Rattus norvegicus: one gene and its partners. Each later gene encodes a partner of the first gene's protein in a complex. Links are inferred from orthologs where the notes say so. Each region holds a gene or a part of one and is shown in the gene's direction. Other genes may lie near its edges.

Region 1 (5,769 bases):
GTTTAGTGTTGGAGCCACTGAGTAACCTAGAAAATGAGAAGTTGGTTCTGCATCTCACACTATGAAGCAAATATATTAAAAATGGCTAAGGATACAAGTGTTTTTACAAAAGTGTAAGCACTAGAAGGGGATGTGGACAATCCTAAATCCTTGTAGAAAGGACTTTAAAACACAGACCCAAGTCCAAGAGTCATAAAGATCTGCCAAATTTAAATCCTCTTTAAGGTAAAAAAACAAAAAACAAAAAACAAAAAAAACCAAACCACCCATCAGCAAAGTCAAAAGTCTACAAATTTTGCAACTCGTGAATACTAATACAAAAAGGGAACCTGGAAACTAATACGGAATAGCTTGATGACCCAGTAGGAAAATGAGCAAAGTAAACGTGATACCTTTGAAACGTTTCTCAGTCTCATTCATTATGAGAGATGCAAAAAGAAAGAGACTACACCAAGCTGGTGGGGCTAAAGGAAACAGGCGTTTCCACAATGTTGCTGGTGCAACGTAAACTGATATAACCAGTATGACGAAACAGGGCTCTACACCACAGTCCTGGCTGGTCTGGAACTTACTATATCGACTAGGCTGGCTTGGAAGTCGTGGGGGCTCTCCCTGCCTCTACTTCTTGAGTGCTGGGATAGTCATGTGCCACTCCACCCAGATAGAAAGGATATATAGGAAAGTTGTGTAGAGCTAAAATACGGGTCTGGCAGCTGTGGTGTTCATCAGTACCTATAATTCCAGCAGTTGGGAGATTGAGGCAAGAAGATCAACAGTTCTAGGTCATCCTTGGCAGGTGGAAACCAGCTTGGGCTACATGAGACCCTATATGGCAGAAGCACTTAGAAAATGGCTGCACATAGGGAAGTGTTCCCAGAGTGCGGCTTGGCAGTACATGAACAGAAACTAGCAAGCATTGAGTTCAATACTATGGGTTATCAGCGGTGTCCTACCTCATTCCGCCCTCCAGGGGACCTTAGGAGTGATGGATGCTACTGATGATGGAATTCTTCTGGGAATAACTAGAGCCAGGCTGCTGACTACTAGGCTGGAATCCAGGCTCTCGTTAGCTGCAGTGAGCTATTGAGCACCTTTTAGGAAATGGGTGGTACAGGGTGCTTTGGACCAGAAAGGCATGTGTGGAGACTGACTTGTAGGGGCTGTGTGTGCAGTTTGAGAAAAACATTTTCAAAAGAGGGAACCCCACACCCAAGACTACAGAGCCTGGAGAATCCCAGAAGGTGGGGGAAAGGAAAGTGGCCAATGGTGTGAGGACTTACTAAGAAATAATTTTAAAAAGCACTACCCTTCTTTGAGGTTTGCACTGACATTGTTTCTACTAAAACTACATTGCACAATCAGAATTACTCCTTCGAGATAATTGGAATTCAATTCTACACAAAGGGCAGAACCATAGCCATAGAAATGTGTGAGGAAGGCAGTGTAGATTCTGAATATAAGAAAGCCCCAGGGTACGGTCATACTAATGGAGGTGCCCCAGTGACCTGTATTTAATTCTGCATCTTTACAAACTTTGTGTCTTACTCCGTAATTCATACTTTCTGTAGAAATTTCGCTTTAAATTTTAAAGGAAAAAAACCCTACAACTTTGGTGACATCCTAATTGGTCCTTTTTTCCTATTCAAAATGTCACTAGAATAGCTGGTCTCTGAATGATGGAAAGTGCCCACTGTTTAGCAAGGGTGGGCGTGGGGGTTGTTTCCTTAGTACTGGGAACAAAACTGAAGGCCTTATGGCAGGCCAGCCCATCACCTGAGTTGTAATCCAAGCCCGCCCCCGCCTCTCCACCCCAACCCTAATGGTTCTTCATAATCACAATTCACTTTTCCGTTTAGTAGGAGCAGCCCAGAGAAGTTGTGCGTGTTCTACGAGTCAAGGAAAGTTCCAGGTCTGGGCTGGCGACCTGGTTTGATCTACACCGGATCTCCCCTCCGCACCACAATCGGAGAGATTCGGAAAGGCGGGCAGGCGCCACGCGAACGCGCTTCAGCTTGGCTGCCGCCGCTCGCCGTAGCCGCGTTTCCAACATGGCGGCCCCCCAGGATGTCCACGTCCGAATCTGTAACCAGGAGATTGTCAAATTCGACCTGGAGGTGAAGGCACTTATCCAGGTACATATTAGTAGGCTCCTGTCCGGCTCTCGATTGCTGCCTTGGCATTTTCCAGGACATTCACGCCCGGTCCAGCCTCCCAGGCCCGCAGTCCCTCTCCAGGATGGCTCCTCGAGCACCACTCGGTCGGTTCCCGGAGAACACTGACCTTCAGCGCGTTTCTTTTGCGTACTGTTGATTTGGCCAAATCTGGAGTAGCCTAACACGCCGCTCTTGTCCCTTGGACTGAAGTGGTTCTGGGGGCTACCCGAAGTCTCGGAGGTAGCCCCGCCCTCCCCCTCCCCCCGCCCTGCCCCTCTCCCACGCCCACTTCCCTGAGTTAGGGACCCGGAGGGCACCCAAGGCCACCTGACGCGGGAGTTCTGGCCCAAGCTAACTTAACCTAGGACGTGGTTGTAATTTTTTGAACGAAGAATTCAAATATTGTGCTAAGTTCTGGGTCAGAAGGCAGGCAGTGCCAGTACTAGGACCTGGATGGGGAAAACCAGCCTAGGAAAAGCATTTTAGAGCTTCCCTATCCGGTTGAACAGACCGGAAAGTGAGGCGCTTATCTGGAAGCAGGTGTAAGTAGAGACTGTGGCGCGTAAGAAATCGAACACGGGCACGAAAAGGGAATGTAGAAATGACTCCAGAGTTTGGCAAAAAGAACCCAATCGGCTCAGGATACAAGCTGTGACAGCAAATAAGAATTGGGTAGGGGTACGGCTCTGCACTTGCTTAGCGCTGCGTTCCATCCCCAGTGCTGCAAATGGGTTGTGCCTGGCTGCTGGCCTAAGCTTTGTTTTGCGAGCCCCTGTAAAAAGGAGGGTGGGGAGTAGTATTCTCTGCTAAGCCAGATGTACACTGTACCACATTAATAGTCTCCGATGGTGTGAGGAAGTGTGATTTCATGAGTAAGCCTAGAGAACGAGTGAAGAAACGCTGCAAACTTTACATCTCTCCCACTTCACTCCTAAGATGTGTAAATAAAAAATATTTGGGCCACTTATAGAAAAATAAACAAGATTGGGTTTATACAAGCGAGATTACCAGAGGCTGGGGGTTAAATTTAGTTGAGTGTAGAGTTAAAGGTTATCCATGTGCAAGGCTCTGGTTTCAGTCCTCAGAATGCATCTATGAAAACATATACATACGTAAAACAAAATTGCTAGTATGGTGGCTCTAGCTAGCACTTGGGAAGCATAGGCAGGATCACCATGCATTTGAGGCCAACCCATACTACACAGAGTGATCTGTCTTCAAAAAAAAAACCCTTACATTCAAAATTTTGAAAAGTTGTGTTTTCATATTATATCATAGTATGAAATTATATAATATCATAAAACTTTGTATTTTCATAAAATTTTCTGTTAGCTAGGTCTCTTGTGACCTATGTGTTTTGGGTCCTTACAGTTACTAATGAGTACGCATAGCCCTGTACATTGTATTCTTATGGTGCTCCAGTTGTTCTGTCAAGTGTTCTAGGCAGACCGATCTTGAGAAAGGTAAGATAAAGAAATGGAGGCACAGAGAACTTAAGTGCTCCAAGATTTCACTGATAAATTGCTCTAACCTGGATTTGAATATACACAGCCTAAGTCTAGAGCCTGCTCTAAAACTTGGCTCTCATAAATCTGACTTTCTTTCCAGAAGCAAATTCTCAGTCCGTCTTTAAACATTTTGACATGCAACAGATGGTTTGTAAAATCAGACTAAATTAATTTTGTTCCATGTTACCAGGGATTTAGAGTTGGAAGGATCTGAAGTTTCAGGGTTTTTTTTAGGTGTTCATTTTTGTGGAGCATGGAAGCTGAAGAAGCCTTTCCTAGTGAATACACTTTGTTAAACTTCTAAGTCAAGGTTGAGCTTTACCTGTTTATTTATTACACACATACAATGCGTTCACGAGTGTGAGTGTGTGTGTATGTGTGTGTGTGTGTGTGTGTGTGTGTGTGTGTGTGTGTGTGTGTTTATGTGCATGTTTTGCTGCTGATGAAAGCCAGGGCCCAGAGCATGCTCTGTAAGTGCTGTATCATGAACTATACATTCAGCCTGCTTTTTCCTATTAGGCTTGGTATTAATCTTTTTTTTTAATTTTTTTATTTATATGAATACACTGTAGCTGTCTTCAGACACACTAGAAGGGGGCATCGGATCCCACTACAGATGGTTGTGAGCCACCATGTGGTTGCTGGTGATTGAACTCAGGACCTCTGGTGTTAATCTTAAGAGGGTGAGGAAACTGAAAATGATGGAGAACAGTGTGGGATGATGTCACAGGTGAGGCAGGTACAAGATAGAAGGAGGCCAGGGCTGGGGATTTAGCTCAGTGGTAGAGCGCTTGCCTAGCAAGCACAAGGCCCTGGGTTCGGTCCCCAGCTCCGAAAAATAGAAAAGAAAAAAAAAATAGAAGGAGGCCTGTCATTGGACAAGAAGGAAGGATGGGCGGGAGAAAAATTTGAAGGAAGAGGAGGGGACTGGAAGGACAGGGAGAGAAGCTGTGGCAGGACAATATGGCAGGTGACATTAAGATCCCACGCTGTACCTTTACAGGTTGTTACGAATGTTTTTAAGGGATAGATGTGTATTGGGCTTTGTGTGTTTAGGTGGGCAATTATATCTTATCAATTGGGTCAAAGGTTATTGTGTTGTGTGTTCTTTCATATAGCGATTTAAGTGTAAGAAAGTGTGTGGCGGCTGGTCTGGGCCACTACAGAGTTGGGATGTGTTTCTGGCATGGAAACCTGCCTTGGGAACTAGATAGGTAGAGAGATTGCTGCCAGGCTCAGAGAGAGGCCTTTGGCAATGGGATATAGGATGAAGCAGAGCGGGTGAGACACTTTGCTGACTGAGAATTAAGAAGCAGATATCTTGGGGCACTGCAGTGGTGGACCTAGGGGGGATAAAAGACAACCTTACTTTTTATTTTTTTATATTTTTACAACAACAGAACAGCACTGAGCAGGATGAGGTAGCAAGAGAGCTTGGCCAACCTTAGCTGCGGACTGACTCAGCTCTCTCACTGTGCCAATGAGGCCATTTCATTTCATCGACGGGAGAAAGGCCCCTCATCTCTTCATTGTCTTCTAGGATATTCGAGATTGTTCCGGACCCTTAAGTGAGCTTACCGAACTGAACACTAAGGTGAAAGAAAAGTTTCAACAGTTAAAACACAGGATCCAGGTAAGCGAGGCTGCAGAACCACTCAGTGTTAGCTGAGGGTGGGTGGCAGGGCCGGGAGCTCCGGCCTAGAAGAACTTTCCCTTGAGAGTTGACCAGGTCCTTCACATGCCACCTGGAGAGAGGAGGAAGCATTGTGACACTGAGGGTGACTGCACTATCAAAGTTTGGAACCTGCATGCTCACTCCCTGCTTGAATCCATTGTCAGCGTGTCCCTGGTGTGTCCAGCGCTACGGTGCACAGTAGCCTCCTCCCAGTTTCTGGAGTCACTGCGCTCATCGTGCGCTGGTTTCCACACCTGCCTCTCACTATGGCGCATGTGCGTCTAAAAGCACAAGAGAGTGAGAAGAAGCCATGTGACTAGCAGAGCCATCTCCACTGCTGTGGCCCTGGGATGGGTGCGATGTCTGCCCATTGCTGGGTGGGTCTAGAACCACCTGGCTTTGCTGCACGTGGTAAATGACATTGTCCCCAAAC
Region 2 (5,544 bases), on another chromosome or scaffold:
TGGAGGCCCCAGAGGCCTTTGGACAAGCTGCTCAGCTTCTGTCTCAAAGCTTGGTGCTCACAGTGACTGTCCTCAGAACTTAGAGACTGGATGGAAAGCAGCTGCAAATGGTCGGTACCCACATCAGAATCCGTGTCAGCTGCAACCAATGTTCCTCCTCAGACGGCAGCCAGAGCAGCACATTTTGTGTGCCAGTGTAGGCAAGCACTCATTGCCCGGGTCACAGACACTGATGGGATGCTGGTTGCCTTGTTTGCCAAAGTGCCGACTGAAGAACTTTGTGCAGAGACCACCAATCCAGGCAAGGGCAGGGAGCTCTCAGCTTTGCTCCAGCCTAGAGCCTGACCTACAGACACTTGCTCAAGTCCCCGAGGTGTGCACAGCCCTACTTGGCAGGTAACCTGGAGCAGAGCCGAATTATCTTCCCTAGCAATGGCCCCTATATTGAGTTCTTGAATTTTATACACAATTTTTGAAGAGAAAAACAAAACAAAACAATTTTGAAATGGATACCTGTGAGGACACTTGTGAAGGAAGGCTGAAAAGGCAAATAGAATTTGTTAAAACGGAGACTTAAAAACCACTCATAAAATTTTTTTTTTTTGGCTAATTTCCCCCTCAAAAAAAGAGGATTGACAAGTTCAAACATTTGCTTTAAATTTATTAATTTAAAAACACAATAAGTCAACTTGAAAGGATTGTTACCATGATGCTAAGCCTGACCTTAAATGCCCAGTCGAGCCTCCTGACTCAGCAGCCTGAATATGTGGAACCGTAAGGCACTTAGCACCTCACCCAAGTCCATGGTGAATGTAGATAACATGGATACCTTCACAGGATTATCCCATGTCTGTCGGAGGTTGATTTGTGGGATGTTACTTTTCCTTGCTCTTTCTTTAGCTTAATCATTTAAAACTCTGTGTATTTTATATAGAAATCTTTTTTCTTCCTTTCAGCTAATTGTGGGTTTTTACAAAGACCTATTTTTATGTGTGTAGGTGTTCGACTACATGTTCACCATGTGCATGCAGTTCTCACAGAGGCGAGGTGAGACTATTGATCCCCTGAACCTGGAGTTCCAGATGGTTGTGAGCCAGTGTGTGGGTGCTGGGAATTAAACCCAGGGTCTCTGGAAGACAACCAGGACTAATCACTGAGCCATTGCTCCAGCCCTCCTTTATTACATTATTTATTTTGTATGTGCATATATATATATATATATATATATATATATATATATATATATATGCATAAGCACATGTGTTGAAGTCAAAGGACCACATGCAGGAGTCCCCATAACTGAACTCAGGTCTTCAGACTTGGTACTGAGCCTTCTCATCAGCACCATTTTTGCTGGACTGAACCTCTCTATATGAACCAGGCTGGCCTCATAGCTAGAGCTGTCCTCCCACATCTGCCTCCTAGGTGTTAAGATTACAGACGAGGACCACATGCATGGGTTTATTTGACCCTTGGTGGTTTCTTTATTTACTGGTCTGTATAAACATTCTAAGAATCTAATTTAAGAAAAAAATTTTTTGAGAGTATATAGTTCTTGAACTCCCTAGTGTAGCTCAGGCTAGCCTTGAACTCACAAAAATCCTTTTGCCTCTGCCTCTCTGTGGGTGCTGGGATTAAACTTGTGCACCACCATCCCGGCCCAAGAGGCTAATTTATTTATTTTTTATTTATTTATTTATTTTTGGATGCAGGATTTCTCTATGTAGCCCTGACTATCCTGGAGCTCAGATCTGCCTGTCTCTGCCTCCTCAGTGCTTGGCTTCAGAATCTGATTGCTGATGAGATCTTCTGCCATTTGCCACCTGCTCTGTAGTAAATTCTGAGCTGAACCCCTGTCCATCACTACTCATTCTGGCCTGACCTGGGCCGATTTTGTTGTCATGCTGTGTTTAGAGAGAGAAAATTTCAGTGAAGAGTAAGAGTTCTTGGGAAGCTAGGGAAGCTCGAGTGAGGTCCAGACTCTCCCTTCCCTGTGAACAATCACCAGCATGGTGATAACTTGAGAGTGCTGTTGGGCATGAGCCACTCATGGCCATGGAAGTTTTTTTAAGAATGCACCAATGTCTCTAGTTCTTAATGACTTCTGAGCTGAGAAAGAATACGTTATTTATGGTCTCTACATCAGCACCAGCCAAGTGGGAACTTGAGTGAATTAGTTAGTTTCTAGTGTTTTGGAAGCTCGTTGTTTACTTGTGGCACTGTTGAAGTGTAAGGCAAGCCAGGCATGATGGCACACATTTACAGTCCCAGCACGTGGACATTGAGCCAGGACAGTCATGATGAGTTTGAATTCAACTTCAGTTACAGTGAGGCCGCCTTAAAAAACAAAAATGAATAAATGCTTAAGCAGAGAGTTTTAAAGTTACAAGCTAATTGCATTATTAGGTCATTTTTGCACACACTACTACCTTCTCACTCAGTCTGGATGCTGACTGAAGTTGCTAATAGCCAGTTACATGTTAATGGATTTTAACTGGTTCACAGGGGAAATGCTCCAATTCTTTTTCATTATTTTTTCAGAAGTCTTAAGGGAAGTGGAATCTGCCTGCTTTAATCCTGACCTTGAACAGGATCTTATTTTTCATTAGAATTTTTGATTCAATTTTAAAAGCACTCTTCAGTCAGCTTTGGATTGAAAATGTTTTGTTTTTTTTTTTTAATATTACATCTATCCAGGCATGGTAGCACCTAGCTTTTCATCCTAGCACGTGGAAGGCAGAGACAGATGGATCTCTGGGAGTTGAAGCCAGGCTGGTGTACATAGTAAGTTCTAGGTTAGCCAGAACTACACTGTAGGACCCTGTCTCAAAAAATTCCAATTCTGAAGGATCCGATACCCTCTTCTGGTACCCATAAAGCTTTACAAATGTTTTTATTTGCTGAACATCTTTTGATGTTCTTGCCATGATTCTCTTGAACAATAAATATACATAATATTTACCTTTTCTCAGGTATCAGTAATCTAATGATGATTTAATGTATTAGGAGGATATGTACATGTTATATGCAGACTACTATTTTACACATAGGACCTCAGCAGGAGTGCCCTAGAATCAGTGCCCTGCAGACAGAAAGGAAAAGCTAGGGAAATGATGGTTTACTGTATCCTTGTACATAAGAAGAAAGCCACAAGGAATAACTGACAATAAATTTATAACAGAAGTAGCTAACATTTTTCTTCCTTACTGCTATCAGAATCGGCTGCAGTCTCAAAGAGCATTACTTCTGCAAGGCACTGAAAGCCTGAACCGAGCCACCCAAAGCATTGAGCGTTCTCATCGGATTGCCGCAGAAACTGACCAAATTGGTTCAGAAATCATAGAAGAGTTGGGGGAGCAACGAGACCAGTTGGAACGTACCAAGAGTAGAGTAAGTCTGGGCAATGTGTAAAGTAGGGGGGTCCTCATACCCAGATACCACACTAAGGCCAGACACTACACCAGTTCTGACTTCTGGGAATAACAGCCCGCCTCCCCTTTTCACAAGTTTTAAATTCCTCAGCTGAAAGATTCCGCATTAGAAGTACTTGTACAGAGCTAAGGGAGATGGGTCTGTCAATAAAGATCAATACAGATGCTCATGGGTTTGGAACCCCAGAGTTTGGGGGTGAGGATTAGAAATAGTTGGATCTTTGGAATTTGTTGGCCAGCCAGTATTTTAAGAAATCCTTTCTTAATATGGTGGTGTAACTGGTCTTTTGCTATTTTGTGAGTTTTTCTTCTACCCTTTTCCACCCTTTCAACCCCCTAACACTAGATAGGAAAGAAAAAAGAAAAGAAAGGGGGTGATGTTATAGTTAGGCTACTTCCTGCTGATTAGGGGGATTGAGTTTCTTGTGGCAAGTTTGATCTTCATCAAGATATCTAATTTCTTCTCATCTCTTTGTGCATAACTTCTTGAGAAATCATGACCAGCAACCACCAACCAACAAAAGCCAACCCATCCTGCTTCTGGGGACTCTGAAAAGTCCCCAGAATTCCAAATATCTCACAATCACAGACTATCACACCCCTGCACAAAGCAATCAAAGTCAGCTGCTGTGAACAACCTGAAGTATCCCTATATCCCATACCTGGGACTAAAACAAAAGCATATTCCTATATTTCTGTGGGGTGTTTTTAAGATTTATTTTTATTTTATGTGCATTGCTGTTTTGACTACATATATTATAAGTCTGTGTTAGGGTATCAGATCCCCTGGAACTGGAATTATAGACCTTTTTAATGCCCATGTTCAAATTATATAAGTTTTTTTGAAAGGAAGAAGAAATGATCTGTTATTTTCTTTTTCAGCTGGTAAACACAAATGAAAACTTAAGCAAAAGCCGAAAGATTCTTCGCTCTATGTCCAGAAAGTAAGTTTCAAGAAACCCACAAATTCTTTTTTTTTTTCTTGGAGCTGAGGACCGAACCCAGGGCCTTGCACTTGCTAGGCAAGCGCTCTACCACTGAGCTAAATCCCCAACCCCCACAAATTCTTGATATTCAATATATTTCAACTAAGAAATATAGAGAGCTTAGACCAGTAACTTAACAAACACCCTGATAAATTACCTTAGTGCTACCCAAGCACTCCTCTAGGCATTCACCAACCGAAGGAGAAGATATTCTCTATTATATTATAGTTTATATAGTTAAATATCTGAGGATGAGGTCTTTGTTAAATTCATAGATTGTTCCAACATAAAGTAGTGGAAAACCTGTCTACTGACCAATGTCAATCCCAGTTTCTGTCTCTTAGAAGAGACCTAAGGAACTAAGAAGAGCTCTCTGCTCCCTGGAACATGTTTGTAAACACCTGACCTGTGAGCATGGATAGTACTTAGTTCTTGCCTTGCATGGCAGGCCCTTTTGGGACGTCCTGTCTTGTTAGCAAGAAGTATTTAAAAATAACAAAAACAAGAGCAAGCTAGCAGCAGGTCAGGTGGCTGTGGCGTGAGCCTGACAGTTGATGGGAGAGAGCCATCCCGAGTTGTCCTCTTACTGCCACAAGTGGACTTGTGAGAGCACACACTCACCTGTGCTCACTAATTTAAAACACTAAAACCAACCTTGAGGTAAGTTGTAACTGCAGTAAAAGCAAGGCCGAAGGGAGGTCGTGACATTGGGGCTAAGCTGGGTACCTAGTGTGGCATGTCCTTGGTGCATGAGCAAGCAAGAGCTTCAGCGATCCACAGTAATCCATTCGTAGGATGAGCAGTGGGAGTAGACCCTCCCCAAACACTAGTAAGTCCTTCTTTACAGAAGGAGAAACCAGATGACAGTCTGAAGTAAATTGTTTGGAGAGTGACTGCTCAGGTAGTGGAGCAGAGGGAGAAACAGGGAAGAGTAAGAAGGGAGAATCTACAAGACACTGAAAAGCAGTTCTCAGGGGCTTAGTTGCTCATCCTAAAAACAGGACCATCCATGAGCTTAAATTAACTTTGACACTAAAAAGTGTGCCCCAGGGGCTGGGGATTTAGCTCAGTGGTAGAGCGCTTACCTAGGAAGCGCAAGGCCCTGGGTTCGGTCCCCAGCTCCGAAA
Region 3 (5,677 bases), on another chromosome or scaffold:
GGTGATCACTAGGCCCTGTCCACAGCACACTTGGTCACCTGAAGCATTATGGAGAATACCCGTCCCCAGCCCCATGCACAACACAGCTCAGAAACCTTGAGTTCCTGCCTAGATTGTCCTCTAGTCCTTGCCATATCCGACACCCTGCAACTTGAGGCACACAGGGAAGCAAACCCACAAAATGCCCCAGCTGAGCTGAGTCCCACCCATTGACTTCAGACTACAACCTACCTCATCAACCTCCCTCTTAACAGAGTCGTAGGTGATGTTAAAGAGCACTTTGAGGATTTCCATGGCCCGCTCTGTCTCTTGGGCTGGAAGTATCACCAGAGGGTTTTCTTTGGGGGCCACACCCAATGTCAGTTCCAGCGCATCGGTCAGCAGGCGCACGCCATGCAGCTCCTGAAACAGCTGCTGGCGCACATCAGTGCGAAGGGCTGTTAGCAGGAAAAGGAGCCTTAAGTCAAAGAACTGGACTTCGTGGGGATAGCTCCTTTTGCGGTACAGTCCCACACGTTCCGCTAGCCTCACCACCAGTCGAGCCTCTGCTGCTAGCATCTGTGCTGTAGGACTGCTGAGCACAAGATTACACAGGCATTTGAGAGACTCGAGGAGGACATCCATGTCTGGGGGCTGTGGGATGGGCTCCTCTGAGATGGCAATGTCGGCATAGCAGGCTAGTGCGTGTAAACTCTGGCGGCTAGCAAATGAGTCCAGGCAGCTGCGGTCTCGGGATAGGATTCGGATAGTCTGCAGCCAGGTGACACGGTGTTTTGGTGACAAGCCCTGCTCCAGTACGGAGACCAGCAGCTTTGCGAGTCTCTGTGGGAAGGGACAAAAATGGTTCCACTAGGCCCTCTTCTTGGGGCAGCCCGTGCTTGCCCTAGGAACCCCCTTGGGCTGACACCTACCTTCCTGTCCTCCTGCTGTGCATCATCGAAGGTGAAGCTCTGGGAATGCTGCAGGGAGACCCAGGAAGCTCAGTTCCACACGCAGGTAGGACCTGTGCTCCTCGAGAAGCAGCAGGTCTGCTTCTACCTCTGAAGCAGCAGCCATCGCTGTGTACGTAAAGCAAGGCCCACCCTCGCCACCCATACACCTGACTACCACAGAGGCACCGCCGTGGCCCAGCCCACCACCCACCGCCCTGCTCCCTGCCACACTCGCACGCACACCCCAGCCGAGTGGCGAGCAACCGGCTGCTTCCTCACTTCCTGCAATTTCCTCGGCAGCTGGATGCCTCTCACCTCTCGGTTAAACGACCGCAGAGCTTCTGTCACCGCATCTTCCTCTCCCGTCTCCAAGGCATCCGCAACTGCCCGGGGCTCCATGGCCCCTGGCACGGGGTGCTAGAAGACTTGGGCTGGGAAGACGCAATCGGCCAAACCCGGGGACTCCGCCCAGGTCCGGAAGCCCAGCGTCCACGCGTGAGGAATGCTGGGAGAACAGCCGAGCCTAGGGTGTGTACAGGCGCGGGGCTGGCCTCCGGCTTAAGGTGGAGCAACCCGGCTGTGGCCGCTGAGCGGCTTGTCTTGGAGCAGCGATGCTAGCTAACTAAGCAGTATCCTCCTTTTGAGCCCTTCTCTCTAGCCCGACTTCCTGGCGGGCGGGGGTGGGGAGTGGGGTGTGGCTTGGCCGGCGCGTAAACCTTTCTCCTTACACTCTTGTTCCCGTACTGTGATAAAAGAGGGAGCGCCGGCTCCTGGCCGCTTAGTCAGTTGGGGAAGACGATTCTCGCGGTCATCTTCCTGATGCTCATCTTCCACGGGAAATAAGGAAAGAGAAGTACGACTTGGATGGTCAAAATAATGTACGTGGTTAGCCGGGCATAGTAACGCACGCTTTTTTAAATTTCAGCACTCGAGAGGCAGAAACGGGCAGACCTATCTAAAAACAATCAAAAAACCAAACCACCAAAATAATGTGGTTATCAAAAGAAAAGGGCAATTGCAGAGTGTATGAGGAAGGATCGGAGAGAAGGAAGTGAAGAACACCGGTGGAAAAGCGACTCCCGCGGGAGGAGCAACGGAGGGGCGGCTAGCCGCGGCGTGTCTGGGGTTAGAAGCGTAGGAACGTTGTATAGTGGGGAGCCAGGTCTGCATGCCACTTAGCTTAAGGCAGAGTCGGTGCACCCCACGGTGACACAAGCAATGTTCCAGAGGATAATGCCGCCCGCTGTGCTAACCGGCGCTTGCCTCTACTCAGTGTCAGGTCCTTTGCCAGTCTCTTTCGCTTCTGCTCGTCCTCCCCATCCTGTCGTTCTCACTTGGGGACTTTGCAGCGCCCGAGGTACCCGACCCTCGGCTCCAGGTTGGGGTCTGAGCTCCTGCTCCGGGTAATACCCACAGCGCGGGACTAATACTGCTGACCAATCCGTAGGCCCGAATGCTGGCGGCCCGCCCTTCCCTTATTTACATTCCAGTGTAGAACTACAAGTCTGTTTCTTCCGCTTCAGACTCTTCTCCCGGAAGTTATTAGACCTGAGGCGGAACCGGAAGACCCAGGTAGTGGTGCCACGTCCGTCGCTGTGTTGCCTACTCCCCGAGTGGGACCTCGGAAGGCGCGATGGCAGATTGGACTCGAGGTGAGCGCACCTGAAGGTAGTTGGGATAGGAGGCAAGGTCTAAGTCTGGAGTACGAGCCATCAATTTTTCCTCGGTGGAGGGATCTGCGTGGGATGGCGCTTACGTATTCCAGGAAAAACAGGGCCAGATTTCAACTGGCACTGCCTTGGAACCCAAGCCGGCATGACATCAGTTTGTGTGTATGGTTGATGCCAAGGGCTGGAAGCAGAAGGTCCAAGCAGGGACTTACAGGGCTCAAGTGCCTCGTTTCACACACACCCTCCGCCCCCGTGCCTGTGTTCAGTCTGACAGTTGTGATACTGAGGCTTCTACTATACTAACTATGTAGTGGTTGGTAGGACACAGCCGTCTGTCTTTTAGAGTCTGGTCGCCCCTGTTTGCTGGTGCTGCTGGCTTTCCCCTTAGGTGGGTCATATCGAGGCTGGATTTTTATGCTTCAGACCAGTGCCAGTCACACTTAGGCAGGTGATTCTCAACTACATACCGTGACAGAAATTCTTCATGTCTAGTCTCTGTCCGTCGGAGTAAGGTTTCCACAGGAGAGTGCTCTGGGGCTTCTAGAGATCCTGTGTGGGTTGTAGCAGTAGGGATTGGTAGTTTCTACAGTAAAAGGCCTTTCTTACACTTACCTTGGACTTGATTCCTAAGTCATCCCCACACAGCCTTCCTGTCACCTGCTTTGTTGTTCTGTTCTGTTTTCCCTATAATCCCTACCAGATTGAGACCTGTCCCATACTCTCAGATGGTGATTTCAGCTAAGGCAATATTCATTTTGGTCCAGGAACAGTATACAACAGGGTAGTGTAGATTGACCTGCTGGTTCCCTGTCTCTGCCTGGGCATTGCACACAAGTACTCCCATGACCCATGCTTCCTGTCTGGTGTGTAGGTGGTCTACCTGTTGGAACATAGGGTGGAACATGCTAAGTGAGCAGAAGGATATGGGTGGAATGCCCTTAGAGGTCTCACCAGGCCAGGCTCCACTGGAGCAAGGAGCCAAGGACCACATTTATGAGTGAATTCTACCCTTCAGCCTCTTTGTCTTGCAGCTCAGAGTTCTGGTGCTGTGGAGGAGATTCTAGACAGAGAGAACAAGCGGATGGCTGACAGCCTGGCCTCTAAGGTCACCAGGCTTAAATCGGTTAGTGGTGGCCCTTTTCCCTTCCATGAGACACTTTGGTGAGTGGGGCTGAGTGGGTAGAAAGGAAGCCATGCTGTCCGTGGGTGTGCTGACTGAGGAATGCTTCAGGTAATACCTTGGCCTTTTTAGCTTTTTCTAGTAATAGGTACCTAGCAGAATCTGAAGGGAAGATGGGCACTGCACTCTGTGTCCTTGCTTGACTGTGCCTTCTGTATCCCAACCAGCTGGCTTTGGACATCGACAGGGACACGGAAGACCAGAACCGATACCTAGATGGCATGGTAAGTGCCTGTATTACGTACAAATCATAGTCAGCTCTACCCCCATGCCGCCTGCTCTTCTGCCTCTAACCCTTCAGCGCTAGTACAGTTGGGCCGTCACAGATCCCAGCTCTATGTGATCCCGTTGGGTCTCTCCCGCAGGACTCAGATTTCACAAGTGTGACTGGCCTACTCACAGGGAGTGTGAAGCGCTTTTCCACGGTGGCACGGTCTGGGCGAGACAACCGGAAGCTTCTGTGTGGTATGGCTGTGGTCTTAATTGTGGCCTTCTTCATCCTCTCCTACCTCTTGTCGAGGACAAGGACGTGAGCCAGTGGGAGCCAAGGGCAGCCAGACTCTTGTCCACCTGGTATCCTGGCTTCCTAAGGACCTGACTACAGAAACAATATTCCTTTGAAATTATCATCACGGGTCATTCGTCTTCCTAAGTCAGGACGACTGCGGCTGCCTCTGTCGTAACGAGCTCCTCTTGGCTTGTCCTGTGTATGAAGGAAGAAGAAAAAGGCAAAACCCAGTGCTACTCCCTGGTGCTAAAGACACTGGCAGAGTCAGAGCCATGTTGTATGAGAATGAGCCAGTTCTATTGAGAGCATCTGAGAGTGCTGAATGCGCCTACCGTGGCCAGTGGCCACACTCCTCAAGGGCCTTCTGTTGTGCTCTAACCTGTTTATGTCTGGTTTAAACCATGTCCGTGTTCTTGAAGAGTCTGAAGCTGACACCAGAAGGGAATGTGGCCGTGAGCCCTCTCCAAATGATGGTCGTCGGGATGGGGTTGACAGTGACACCAGGCTGAGACTGCTGGTCAGGAATGGACCTGTGCAGTCTGGCTCAATTCAGACCCCAGGGAAGAGGCAAACTGTGGATAGAGGAGCAGACTGCAGTCCAGAGGCACTGGTCTAAGATCCTTCTGGGCTGTAAGACCATGTTTCCAGGAGCACAGATGTGTGTCCTTGGCATTGAGAATCTTCCCAGTATCAAAGATGCCTCCATCCCTGGGTAGCTTTCAGTCAGGCAGTGCTGGAGTGGTCTCTCTGCTGGGAATCCTTATGGGGCTGGAGGCCACCCATGAAAGCATTTGTGTAGTGGGAACTTGACCTTGTACTGAACCTTGCCCTACCCCGTACAGCCAGTCTCCCTTGTGAGGGAGATTGAGCCACCTCCTTGTTGCACAACTCCATAGACTCACCCGCTCTGCCGGCCCTCCCTGCCACTGTGGCCAGCCCCATTTGCACACAAACTGACTTGCGGAGCTGACAGGGCCGACAGGACCTCGCACCTTTTGTTTTCACATAAAATGTCTTTAAGAAATGAGCCTTGAAGTTCCGTGCCCTTCTCTGACTGTATTCATGTCTGTGTTCTTCTCTCTCCCTCTCCCTACACTGGCTTACCCTCTACCTATGAGGCCATACATGTAGCTCATCGGCCCATAACCACTACCTCTGAGTTCTAAGCCAGTATGATTCTGCCATACCCTGGCCTCTTAATGCCAGTCGCAGTGCCTTGCTGTAGCACCAGGTACCCATCCCCTTATCATTTTCTCTGAACACGTTGACCTTATTTGGCCATTGCATTGTGTCTGCCTGAGCCCCAAACCTTATGGAGGAGGAGCGCCTGTCCTCTGTTTTGCCTACCCTGCAACCTTTACAAGGTAGAGCTCACTCCACACTGCTG
Region 4 (5,191 bases), on another chromosome or scaffold:
AGAATGGTTAAGTGAATTAAGTTTTTTTTCTAGGCTTCTCCAGGCCAGATTATTCAACTATAATTTTCAGAACCTGACCTCTGGTTTAAAAATTGTATTTTAAGAGATTACACTACCCAATACAAACCAGTCTTGCTATAGTTTGAGAACCATTGATTTACTTGGTGAAATGAACATGTTAAGTTATATTACACTGAAGAGTTGATTTGTTAATTTCCATAGCTTACACCGTGAAGCAGGGAAATGTGGCTTGTTATACGAAGAAAAATCAGCATATTCCTATCCAAATATCAGGAAAGTAATTTTGAACTCATGCCCTTTTGTTTGATAATATTTCTGTTTATGAAGATTCTAACATGAATTATAAATCGCTCTTTTGGAAGGTTTGGGTGAATTTCATTTGGTTGCTTTTATATTAAAAGTAATTATCATATAGGCATAGATCATATAATATTCATATTATTAGTTCTGTACCGTCATGTGGGTTCTAGAATCACACTGTCTGGGTTTAAATGACTGTATCGTTCTAGCTCTGTAATCTTGTGTAAAATAGTTAAGGAGTCAGTGCCTCTGGGTTTTTTTTTAAATACTTAAACTAGTATCTGTTACAAGGTGAGTGCTTAATAAATATGAGTCAATGTGATTGTTAACAGTGATCTCTGTGAATCCGGAGTCTAGTCTCTGCTGAATTATTTCCCTAGGATAAGTTTTCAGGTTGAAATTATTTCATCAAACTGTGGTGGCATCTCTAAGCCGCTTTGCTATATATGATCATTGCTTTTGAAAGAGCATTGGTTTCTGCTATATAATCTGTAAATACAGCCCATGTGCACATTAATTTGTAACTAGAAGCAGTTTAAGTCACAAACTTGTAGAAGGTCATTCACTTTTCTCCTCATTTAAGAGGTCGAAACTCGGGTCTATAAGTGCAGGAAGCATACTTTATACCACCGAGCTGTGCCCCACTTCCTATTAAGTTTGCATTAATTTCTGTGCTATAATGATTTTTGTTCAGTGCTTTCTCTAGATGGATGTAGATACATGAGTGGGGAGAGGTGTTCAGGAGGGGGGATAGGGAGGGGAACAGCCTTATAAATGGGGAGGGAGAGGGATTAGGGAGCTTATGGACAGGAAACTGGGAAAGGGAATAACATTTGAGATGTAAATAAGAAATACACAATTAAAAAACAATTAAAAATTTAAAAAAAATTCGTGCCTGAGTAATATTCTAAATCTGTGTCCTTTTTTTTTACTCTTAATAGATTGAAGTCATGGCCATTCTTTTTGCCGTTGTTGCCAGGGGAACCACTATTCTTGCCAAACATGCTTGGTGTGGAGGAAACTTCCTGGAGGTGACAGAGCAGATTCTGGCTAAGATACCTTCTGAAAATAATAAACTAACTTACTCTCATGGCAAGTGAGTTCTGACCTGCATGAGGTTGTGGGAAGGAATGAATTTTATTGTGGTCAAAACAGTAGAAAACAAGATTCTAGGTAGATTCATTTGACAAAAATGGTAACTTGACTAGCTTGAGAAATGTCTAGTTTTAGGCCAGGCATGGTGGCTCATGTCTCTAGTCCTACTGCTAGATCCCACTATGAGTTCAAGGCCAGCCTAAACCACAGAATGAAACGCTATCTCAAAACAATAAAAAGTCTGGTTTTGTTACCAATTTAACTTACGATTATTATTCTATTTATTTATTTATTTATTATTTTATTCTGTCACTTGAAATGATATATTCAAGAAAGATATGGAAATGCTAGCTATAAAAATTGCTTTTCTAAGATGTGTGAAACAATACAGATGATAACTCCTTTCATTCATTTAGTAAATATTAATACAGTATTTAGCTATCAATAGGCACTCTAGCTGGTGAAACTGACATAAGAAGAAATGCAGATAATCAATAATGACCGGATTGTAAAAATTAATAATAATAATGACTTTCTTGACTTGTGATATAAAATTATAAAGTCTGGTGGGGTGGGTGGAGGTTGGGGACATCTTGGATACAGTGGAGGAGTAATGGCATGGGGACATTTTGGAAGGCAGACTAGTAGGGGGAATGACTGGACTGTAAAGAGAAGATAATAATAATAGTGATGATGGTGGTGGTGATGATGATGATATTAACTTTCTAGACTTATATAAAATTATAAAGGTATTTTATTATTGCAATGTGATTCCTGAATGACTATATAAGTTAGGGTTCTCTAGAGTCACAGGATTTATGGGCAGTCTCCACACAGTAAAGGAATTTGTGGGTGATTTGCACTCCGTCATCCAACTCACCAATAATCGTGAGCAGCAGCTGTGAGTGTAAATCCAGGAAAGTGTAAGTCCAAGGTTCCAGAGCTTCAGATGCTAATAGTGGGAAAGCCTAGTAATGGTGTTAAAAATACCTTAACTCTCCATGCTGATGCTTAAAATATTTCCATACTTAATCTCCACATCATTACTTCTTATGTCAGGGGATCCTTATTGCTTTTCAGAGTTAAGCCCTTTCACACCTTAGTTAAAGCTACCGTGAGAAGACACTGAAATATAAAATTAATGTATGTGAAACAGCCAGGGACGAGGGGTCCAGAGCTACTGCGTTGGCTCTGCCATCGACGCCTTCCAACTTTTGCCAGAAACAGTTTCTCTTATTGTTATCATGGCCCCGTGATTTTTCCAGTGTTTCTAAAGGCACAGATCTGAAGTTTCCTTGCTTTTTACTGTTTCAAGTTTCTGCTCTCGTTTTTTTTTTTTTTTTTTTTCCCTCCTCATCTTATAGTCACGTAGCCAAGCTAGTTAGAAGGGAGGCTAGGAACCATCTGCCATCTTTGGCTGTGTGGTCTTAGGCTGAAGTAAAGCTCTTACTCTGGAAGAATTTATTATAGCAGAGGATTCCTTTAAGTCCTCCATTTTACTTCTCTGGCTGTCAAAAAACCCAGATGAACTTTCCTTCTCAAATATTAAACATACCCAACTCTGAAGACTCACCTGGTTGCTATGTTTTGCTGTGTGTCGATAGTTCCTGGGTGATGTACAGTCCTTTGGTCCAGGAGTCCTATGGCCTGGTGACCGTAAAAACAACAACAAAGAATGAAACAGAACAAGTCATCTGTTTTTCCTGTTGTCATCCTCCTACCAAGAATGAGAACAGGGTCACTAGGATGAGAGTTACAAACTTTTATTTTAAAAAGAAAATAACAAGAAACGTAGAAATCATTTCTTATTATTGGTGACCAGATACTTCACGGCCATTTGGAATGGGGTGTAGTTGGTAATTCTACTTTCTCAGAGAAACTCCTGATCATTCCTACCAGACTGCTATAAATGTCAGAGGATATGTTGTCATCTTTGGGAATGTAAACGGTTTTATATCTACACCTTAACAGTTTAGATTTAGGGGCCCAGAGATTGTGATAGAGCTTAGATAATCTGTCTTGTGAGTACGGATTTCTAGTTTATTCAAAACACTTCATGCTTATAATGTATGCGTTGCTAATCAGTGCCTAGGAAAATGCTAGGGGAAACATGGAATTCTTTCAGAGCGAAGAAGGGAATATTTCTTCCACTGGTGTTATTAGAACCAAAATTTAGTAACACACCTGTATCTAGCTACAAGGGAAGCTAGGAAATATAAGCACAATATATGTTTTAGTAGAAGAAAATATACGAGGGATATACATTATATAATTGGATTCACATAAGTGTGATCTCTAAGTCTTCACCTGCCCCTCCTGTGTTTGTCAGATGGGGTTTAATCACTGACATTTTTTCTTTTTAGATTTCCACCCTGATTTCAATCACATAATTACATTTGTTATCTCAAGATGACTTTTACTTCTGTATAGCAAAATAAAAACATCCACATCGTATATATGGGATATTTTCACTGGACACCCGGCCAGCTAAACCTAAAACTTAAGGATTATATTTCACTTCCTCACCAAATATTTACCTGTCTTCTACACGTTTGTCAGCCCGTCCTTCCTCTTATATCTCCATTTTTCTCTTTGATGGCTTTGTCTTCTACTATTCCAGTCCTTGATTTGTTTTGCATCCGTACGTAAAAAGTTTATTACTCAGTGTTAATTTTTTTGTCTCTTCATAATATTTGTAACAGTTCTTACCTTTTATTGGAGTATGGTTACCATACCTGCTTTTAAAATTCTGTTCAGGGAGACAAAACAAGTTTTTAAAATATTAAGTATGATAGACAGAAGCATATGTAGCACTGGAGCTCAGGTGGTGGGGTATGGATTGATTCCATACTGATTTTGGATATTATAATAGAATAACACTCCCTGCCCCAGGCAAAACCGTTTTGAATCTTTTCATTTTTCTCAAGGCAGTTTATCAAATTTTGTATAATACAGTCTCTACTTCCTTTCCCGCTGGCATCTGTCCAGGCAATTACTTTTTTCCGTATGTTCTGAACTTTCATCATGCGAACCGATTTTGCTTTCTGATATTTATGATGTGCTCTTTCAAATCCACATCCTTACAGTGCCTCATTCTGCACATTTGTATATTCTCGGCTGACCCCTTGCATGGCTGTTACTTATTCTTTAGGATTCAAATCATACATCACCTTTACCCTTTGTAAATGTCCTTACCTGCTTCCTCTACGCCCCTAGGGTACTATAGAATACCCTCAATTTCCTTATCAGTCCTCAATTCCAATTCTTAAAACCACAACGTATCAACTTATTTGCCGAACTGCATTGTAACTCCTTATACTATGATCCCAAAAAAGCAAGAACTGATGGTTTTACAATCCGTATCCTCATCATCCTGCACATTCGCTTGCTCAAAGCAGATGCTTGAATGCAGGACAAAAGCACAGAGAATTCGCTATCAAAGGTGTTGGCAGGGGGGAAAAAGCTAAACAAAACCAGAAAGGGGGGAAAAAAAACCTACGACCCCCTGGGAATTAATTTTAATTGTGTGTTCCTTCTAAGACGTCATCTCTCCTCTGGGCCTTAAGAATCCATTTGTTCTTTTCTAGCTGACATTTTAATGGTCGGCACACATGATTATATTCAAGAAAGAGAACTTTTTTTCATGTTTTATTCATTCCTGTGAGTTTAACTAAAGACAGAAATGCATGAGGAGGGGGGAAATGGAAACGGATTGTATTTGTAATCGCTATGGTGAAGTTTGACACACTGAACTGGCTTATACGTGGCCAGAACT

Evidence for each region.
Region 2: Bnip1 (region 1) and Vti1b share a complex: the UniProt entries of both Homo sapiens proteins name them as parts of the SNARE complex. The link is inferred for Rattus norvegicus from reciprocal best matches to the Homo sapiens genes BNIP1 and VTI1B.
Region 3: Bnip1 (region 1) and Bet1l share a complex: the UniProt entries of both Homo sapiens proteins name them as parts of the SNARE complex. The link is inferred for Rattus norvegicus from reciprocal best matches to the Homo sapiens genes BNIP1 and BET1L.
Region 4: Bnip1 (region 1) and Vamp7 share a complex: the UniProt entries of both Homo sapiens proteins name them as parts of the SNARE complex. The link is inferred for Rattus norvegicus from reciprocal best matches to the Homo sapiens genes BNIP1 and VAMP7.

What each region holds. Positions count from the first base shown.
Region 1 is NC_086028.1:16,899,830-16,905,598, reverse strand, and holds the start of Bnip1 (vesicle transport protein SEC20), read left to right. Parts: upstream 1-2,037; 5' UTR 2,038-2,048; coding exon 2,049-2,132; intron 2,133-5,201; coding exon 5,202-5,294; intron 5,295-5,769. UniProt on the Homo sapiens protein: As part of a SNARE complex may be involved in endoplasmic reticulum membranes fusion and be required for the maintenance of endoplasmic reticulum organization. Also plays a role in apoptosis.
Region 2 is NC_086024.1:103,695,005-103,700,548, reverse strand, and holds the end of Vti1b (vesicle transport through interaction with t-SNAREs homolog 1B), read left to right. Parts: intron 1-3,216; coding exon 3,217-3,390; intron 3,391-4,313; coding exon 4,314-4,379; 3' UTR 4,380-4,414; downstream 4,415-5,544. UniProt on the Homo sapiens protein: V-SNARE that mediates vesicle transport pathways through interactions with t-SNAREs on the target membrane. These interactions are proposed to mediate aspects of the specificity of vesicle trafficking and to promote fusion of the lipid bilayers.
Region 3 is NC_086019.1:205,360,681-205,366,357, reverse strand, and holds Bet1l (BET1-like protein), read left to right. Parts: upstream 1-1,651; 5' UTR 1,652-1,810; intron 1,811-2,455; 5' UTR 2,456-2,565; coding exon 2,566-2,584; intron 2,585-3,633; coding exon 3,634-3,725; intron 3,726-3,949; coding exon 3,950-4,006; intron 4,007-4,147; coding exon 4,148-4,315; 3' UTR 4,316-5,317; downstream 5,318-5,677. Other genes in the region: Ric8a (synembryn-A), read right to left, coding at 232-822, 912-959, 1,248-1,331. UniProt on the Homo sapiens protein: Vesicle SNARE required for targeting and fusion of retrograde transport vesicles with the Golgi complex. Required for the integrity of the Golgi complex.
Region 4 is NC_086030.1:21,847,787-21,852,977, forward strand, and holds part of Vamp7 (vesicle-associated membrane protein 7), read left to right. Parts: intron 1-1,262; 5' UTR 1,263-1,271; coding exon 1,272-1,417; intron 1,418-5,191. UniProt on the Homo sapiens protein: Involved in the targeting and/or fusion of transport vesicles to their target membrane during transport of proteins from the early endosome to the lysosome. Required for heterotypic fusion of late endosomes with lysosomes and homotypic lysosomal fusion.